Linked DNA regions of Ovis aries. The main gene of each other region encodes a partner of the protein of the gene in region 2 in a complex. Links are inferred from orthologs where the notes say so. Each region holds a gene or a part of one and is shown on either strand. Other genes may lie near its edges.

The links. Proteins that work in one complex are often made in the same cells at the same time.
Region 1: the proteins of GIPR (region 2) and GIP are in contact, whole or in part, in a cryo-EM structure (PDB 7RA3), measured with the Homo sapiens proteins. The link is inferred for Ovis aries from reciprocal best matches to the Homo sapiens genes GIPR and GIP. Residues at the interface, in NP_000155.1 of Homo sapiens: Gln30, Thr31, Ala32, Leu35, Tyr36, Trp39, Tyr68, Trp71, Leu88, Trp90, Arg101, Arg113, His115, Asn120, Gln130, Arg131, Leu134, Glu135, Leu137, Gln138, Tyr141, Tyr145, Arg183, Ile187, Arg190, Asp191, Pro197, Gly198, Pro199, Tyr200; in NP_004114.1 of Homo sapiens: Tyr52, Ala53, Glu54, Gly55, Thr56, Phe57, Ile58, Ser59, Asp60, Tyr61, Ser62, Ile63, Ala64, Met65, Asp66, Lys67, Ile68, His69, Gln70, Gln71, Phe73, Val74, Trp76, Leu77, Leu78, Lys81.

The regions. Positions count from the first base shown.
Region 1 is NC_056064.1:37,313,813-37,316,803, forward strand, and holds the end of GIP (gastric inhibitory polypeptide), read left to right. Parts: intron 1-334; coding exon 335-424; intron 425-1,174; coding exon 1,175-1,276; intron 1,277-1,405; exon of another isoform or gene 1,406-1,477; intron 1,478-2,340; coding exon 2,341-2,350; 3' UTR 2,351-2,485; downstream 2,486-2,991. UniProt on the Homo sapiens protein: Potent stimulator of insulin secretion and relatively poor inhibitor of gastric acid secretion.
Region 2 is NC_056067.1:53,030,580-53,034,230, forward strand, and holds part of GIPR (gastric inhibitory polypeptide receptor), read left to right. Parts: intron 1-20; coding exon 21-124; intron 125-970; coding exon 971-1,074; intron 1,075-1,260; coding exon 1,261-1,405; intron 1,406-2,772; coding exon 2,773-2,932; intron 2,933-3,146; coding exon 3,147-3,207; intron 3,208-3,517; coding exon 3,518-3,651. UniProt on the Homo sapiens protein: This is a receptor for GIP. The activity of this receptor is mediated by G proteins which activate adenylyl cyclase.

The DNA.
Region 1 (2,991 bases), on a different chromosome or scaffold from region 2:
GAGGATCCCTAGGGGGCTGGGGATGAAGGCAGAGGAGCTGAACTGCTGCCAATGACTCTTCAGTGGTGGCAGCTTCAGACTTTGGAAATAAGACGAGTTGATCTCAGTCTTCTCTTTGCAAAGTCTCTTTCCCTGACTTTGCTGTTTGACCTGCGTGGTAGCTTTTGAAAAGCTTTTCACTGGGAGCTGAAGACAAGCAGTTGGGAGGCTGACTGAAGAAAGAGGTACCCTTTGCTCCCTGGGCTGAGGTGCCAAATGGCTGGAGCTTCTTTAGACTGGAGAATATCTGGAATCGCCCCTGGCCCCACCTATTCCCTAACCTTTATTTTACCAGCTGGATACACAACATCACCCAGAGGGAGGCTGGGGCCTTAGAGCTGGCCCATCAGTCTAACAGGAAGGAGGAGGCAAAGGAGGAGCAGGGGTGAGTCTGCCCGCAGGGGAAGGGGTGGGGGTGGGGCCCCCGACTCACTGCCCCCTCATTGTTCCCTTTCCCAGACTCCGAAGCAGGGCTAGACCCCAGACAAGCATCCTCTTCTACCCAGAATTCAAAGAGGGGTCCTGGAGATCCTGGAGATCAGCCCAAGCCTAAGGGAATAGCCTAGGAGGAATGGGGGTGGAGGTCCTGGGAGGGGATTTGGGGTTAGAATTTCTAAGATTGATGACTTAATGTGCAGAGTCACCAAGTCCAGGAGAGGCTCCTGGAGGGACTTCAGAAACTGGCTTCTCCCCTTTTGTCTGCTAAACTTCAGGAAGGCTTTTATGGAACAAGGAACCTCCCAAGGCCAGTCCCCTGAAATCAGTTACCCTGTCTCTGTAGGAAGCTGAGGAATTGACACAGATCATTCTAAAGAGTGAACATTCCCAAAGTAATCTCGGTGGGGGGGGGGGGGGGTTGGAATACACTCTGGGAAACTTGTAGAGGTGGGTGGGAGGGATGTCTCCCACCAGAACTGTTGTCTTTGCCTGTATGGAAGAGCCTATATTCATTCCCTGGCGGACAGATCTGGGCGGAGCTTTGAAAGCTGAGACAACTGAGAGGCAGCTGTGTTGACTTGTACCCCCCACCCCCGCCCCACCTTGTCCCACCACGCCGGAGTCCCAGCCCCTGTGTTTACTCTCTCTGGGTGGGGCCTGGGCTTAAGGGGCCTGCCAGAGGCTTTCTCCTTTGTAGTTCCCTACCCAAGAACCCCAGTGATGAAGATTTGCTAAAGCGTTTACTGATTCGAGAGCTGCTGGCCTGGATGGTGGATCAGATGGAGCTCTGCACGCTCAGGTGGGAGTCTGGCAGCTTTGGGCATCTTGCATATTAGTTGTGAGCTCTCACTATGGAGTCAGACGTGGGTTCAGATCTTCACCCCAACACAGGCTGACAAATTACTTACACTCTCCGAAACTTGAGACTTCCCAGGTGGCTCAGATGGTAAAGTGTCTGCTTGCAATGCAGGAGACCCAGGTTCGATCCCTGGGCTGGGAAGATCCCCTGGAGAAGGAAATGACAACCCGCTCCAGTACTCTTGCCTGGAAAATCCCATGGACAGAGGAGCCTGGAAGCTACAGTCCATGGGGTCACAAAGAGGCATTTTTGTGAAAGTCAGGGTTATTTAAACCACTTCATAGGATTTGGTGGGGTTTGAATAAGATAATGCTAGGAAAAGGGTGACAGAACATCTGCAGAGTGTTAAGAGTTTGGTAATGTTGACAGATCGTGGTACCACTTTCACTTCTTCCTCAGTTTCCTCCAGGTGAGATGCTGCTCTCACCTGCCCTACCCACCCAAGACCATAGCATCCTCAGCTTTCCCTCAGTACCCGTGTGCCACGGCAGCTTCTCAGTGGTGAAACCTCTAGAGTTGGAGGAACGTTGCCCTTCTCTGTAGTTCCAGCTGGTCTCAGTAATCCTCGAATCCTCCTCCTCAGCTAGGAAGTCTTTCAGTTTATTAATATCATGTCTTAGAAGCAAGGGATGGCTCAAAACCATGGAGAGATCCAGCCACTCGAACAGTGAGACAGGACATTCATTTAAGATGCAGACACCAAGATGCAGAAACCAAAACAAATTCAGACTTCGGTGATGGGAAGTTGAGGGATTGAGGGAACAAATCTGGAATGGCTTCCTGTAAGAGGGTTAGAAGGACCCTATGTGGCCAGAACAATGGAGAAAAGAGTATGAGAAAATCTCCTTGGTAAAGTGGGTAACAGTCTGTGCACTTTTTGGAATAATTACCTTTAGAAAGGTAATTTGGAGGTAGGAGGAGTTGAACTATGGCTGGGTGCCAGAATACACTTACTTTGCTGACTCTAAGCCGAGATATTCCCCTCCTCTCTCCACTCTGCACAGGTTTCAGTGACTCTGACCAAACCCAAGCTCAGAACTGGACTCTGCCCTTCATTTACTCAGCTCCTGCTTCATCTCCACTCCAAGATACTCCAAAGGAACCAAACTAAGTTTAAGCTGAAATAAATGTTTGTGCTCATTGTCAAAACTGACGTGTCTACTGTTGACTAACTGGATGTTTGTCTGTGTGTGCACTACTCAGTGAAAAGGAGGTATGGCTCTTACCCGTTAATTCATCGATTGTTTCATGAACACTTATTGGAAACCTAACACAGGCAGGGATTATGCTTAACACTGAGTATACAGCAGTGATGGAAACAGACACAATCATTGTCCCCAGGGGGTTTACAGTCTAGTGATGAAGACATACCTTAATCTTTATACAAACAGAGACTTCCCTGGTGGTCCAGTGGCTAAGACTCTGCACTCCCAAAGCAGGGGACCCAGGTTTGATCCCTAGTCAGGGAACTAGATCCCACAACTGAAGATTCTGCATGCAACAGAGAAGCCTCATAGACGGAGTAGGCAATCAGGAGGGCCTCTCTGAGAAAATGATGCTTAAGCTGAATGAGATTTTTTAAACATTTCTTTCTTTTTGGCTGGGCTGGGTCTTCCTTGCTGTGTGGGCTTTCCTCTAGTTGCTGTGACGGGAGA
Region 2 (3,651 bases):
GTGCCTCTGATTCCCCTCAGTGGCTAAAGGCTTTGTCCTCCGCCAATGTGGCAGTGATGGCCAATGGGGACCTTGGAGAGACCATTCTCAGTGTGAAAACCCAGAGAAAAATGGGGTTTTTCAGGTAAGAAGAGGAGAGATTTAAGGGTATGATTTCCAGGCAGCAGTAGAACAGCTCAGACAGAGCCTGAAACCCCTTGTACCATTCAGGACTCTGGGTTCAAAGTGATAGCAATTTCAACTCCTTTCTTGAAGGAGAAAGAAAAATATATTGGCTTTTGTGATTGAAAATTATAAGGCTACAGCTTCAGGTACAGCTGGATCTAGGTGCTAAAATGATGTAGTTGGGAATCTCTCTCACCATATTGTACTTCTATTTTTCTCTATGATGGTGTCCTCTTTTGTGTGTGTGTGTGTGGGGGGGTGGTGGTGGAAAAGGTGGCCCCCATCAGTACCAGGCTCACAGTCCACCTGCAGGCAATGCTATAGGCAGACTGAGCTTTTTTCTCAATAGCTCCAACTTAATGTCTCAGGACTGACCGTCATCGGCCTGATTTGAGTAGCATACCTGCCCTTGAGTAGTCACTCTGTGTGTGTGTGTGTGTGTGCGCGCGCGTGGTGTTAGATAGCATGCTTTGATTCGTTGGTCACATGCCCAGCCCTGGGGTTGAGGGGTGGAATGCCCCACTCAAAAAAAGGTTGATAGATCCCCCCCAAAATTGGGGTGCAAATATGAACAAAGAGCAGCTCCTTTATGGCCTGAGGGCAGGAGTTGAGCTCTATCTCTTTTTAAAATTTATTCATTAATTTTTGGCTGCACTGGGTCTTCATTGCTTTGTGCAGGCTTTCTCTAGTTGTGGTGAGCGGGGTCTAGTTGCGGCATGCAGGCTTTTCGGTCCGGGCTCAGCCATTGTGGCTTGCGGGAGCTGAGCTCTATTTCTGTATCCTCTTCCCCCACCTCCACCCCCAGGACCAAAGGCTGGCCTTGGAACGGCTGCAGGTTGTGTACACTGTGGGCTACTCCCTGTCTCTTGCCACACTGCTGTTCGCCTTGCTCATCTTGAGTATCTTCAGGTGGGAACCCCCAACCCTGAACAGAAGCAGCAGAGACTGGGCTTCAGTTTTCCCAGAAAGATGGGGTAGTCAGGCTCCACTGGCAACAAGTATCCAATGGTGGTTCTGTGGGGAGGGCTGGGACGTAATTTAAGGGACTCTGTGTGGCCAAGGACAGGCCCCCAGACTGCCTCCCAAATCCCTCAGGCGGCTGCGCTGCACTCGCAACTACATCCACATCAACCTGTTCACGTCTTTCATGCTGCGGGCAGCTGCCATCCTCACCCGAGACCGTCTGCTTCCTCCCCCTGGCCCCTACCCTGGGGATCAGGTCCTTACCCTGTGGAACCAGGTGAGCAACATCCTTCTCTTTCTCAAACTGAGATTCTGCCTCCTCTGGTAGGGCCAGAGGGTTCCCTTGTGGCTCAGAACGTAAAGAATCTGTCTGCGATGCAGGAGACCTAGGTTCGATCCCTGGGTTGGGAAGATCCCCTGGAGAAGGGAAAGGCCACTCACTCCAGTATTCTGGCCTGGAGAATTCCATGGACTGTATAGTCTATGGGGCCATAAAGAGTCAGACATGACTGAACAATTTTCACCCTATCAACCGGGCTTGCCTGGTGGTTCAATGGTGAAGAACCTGTCTACTAATGCAGGAGACATGGGTTCGATCCCTGGGTCGGGAATATCCCCTGGGGAAGGAAATGGCAACCCACTGCACTTCTCTTCCCTGGGAAATCCCATGGACAGACAGAAGGGACTAGTGGGCTACAGTCCACGCACAAGGAAACAACAAAAAGAACAATAATGTTATCCATTGTTCATCTCTCCAGACCCTTCTGACACAACTAGAGAGGGACCCTCCCTACTCAGCCTCCCCCATCATTGAACTCTCTCATCCCGTTATCTCCTCTACTGGAACATTTCCATTCCTTTCTCTCGGTATCTCACCGGTCATTGGAGTTTTGCACCAATAAGAGAGGCCCCTGCTAGAGGCCAGACAGAAGTTGGCAGGATGGGAGAAACTAACCGATGGGGGGATTTGGCAGATACCAATTTGTTCCAGGGAGACAAGGTGGGAGAGACTAGGGGCGGGTGGGGAGAGAACCTGTCGGGCAGCAAGTTGGGCCATACCAATTGTTGAAAGCGAAGCGGGTGGGAGAGTCCATGTGCTGGTGGGTGATGAGAAAAACGTTTTGAAAGGTGTAGTTGAATTCTTAGGAGATGGGGTGGGAGAGTCCATATTCAGGGGAATCTGGGGGGAACTCATGAAATTCTCCAGGCCGGAATACTGGAGTGGGTAACCGATCTCTTCTCCAGCGGATCTTCCCGATCCAGGAATCGAACCAGGGCCTCCTGTATTGCAGGCGGATTCCTTACCAGCTGAGCTTCCAGGGAACATAGATAGATAGTGAAGTCGCTCAGTCGTGTCCGACTCTTTGCGACCCCATGGACAGTAGCCATCCAGACTCCTCCGTCCATGGGATTTTCCAGGCAAGACTACTGGAGTGGGTTGCCATTTCCTTCTCCAGGGAAGATACCAATCGTTAAAGAGGTTAGAGTAGGAGAGTTCATGTAGGGAAAGAGAACAGAGTGAGTGAGGAAAGGATAGCTTTATCATCCTTCGGTGATACAGAATGGGAAGAGAATATTTGATGACAAGAGATGGGCTTGGAGGGGACCCTGATTGCCCCCTCCTCCTGTCTGGTCACCCCCTAGGCCCTAGCTGCCTGTCGCACGGCCCAGATCGTGACCCAGTACTGCGTGGGTGCCAACTACACGTGGCTGCTGGTGGAAGGCATCTACCTGCACAGTCTCCTCGTGCTCGTGGGAGGCTCCGAGGAGGGCCACTTCCGCTGCTACATGCTTCTCGGCTGGGGTGAGCCCCGACTCTGCCCCCTGCCCTGCCCAGCGGCGCGCTTCCCCTCCCGCAAACTACCCAGCTGGTCTGCCTGAGGGGGTCTCCACCCCTCTCTAGGATTCTCTGCCTCCCCTTCCCGGCGGGGGAATTCCGCGGGTCTTGGGCCTGGCAGGGCCCGTGCGCGCTCTGACAGCTGCGGCGGGGTGGGGGGCGGGGGTTGGGGTCTGCACAGGGGCCCCCACGCTTTTCGTCATTCCTTGGGTGATCGTCAGGTACCTGTTCGAGAACACGCAGTGAGTCGCGGGGTCTGGGGTGGGGCGGGTCTGGGGTGGGCGGGGCTTTGAGGGATGTGGGCGGTCCTTGGAGGGACGTGGGCGGGGCGAGACGGAATCGTGGGGAGGTTCTAATTGCTTCTAGGAGCCTGGGAGGGTGTCTAAAGGAACCAGTCGCTTAGGAAGATGGGTTCCAGGACTGCTGCAAGGGGCGGGATGAGGGCTGGGCCTAAATAGTAGCAGTGGGTGTGGCCTTAAAGAAGGTGGGGAAATTAAGTGCTCAATTCTGTGAGTCTAGGGTATTCTAGTCTATCTACGCCCCCTCCTCCAGGTGCTGGGAGCGGAACGATATCAAAGCCATTTGGTGGATCATACGAACCCCTATTCTCCTAACAATCTTGGTACGGCCGGTCCCATCTCCTCCAGGCTGGTCTCAAGAATTTCCCATCCTGGGAAGCCAAGGTG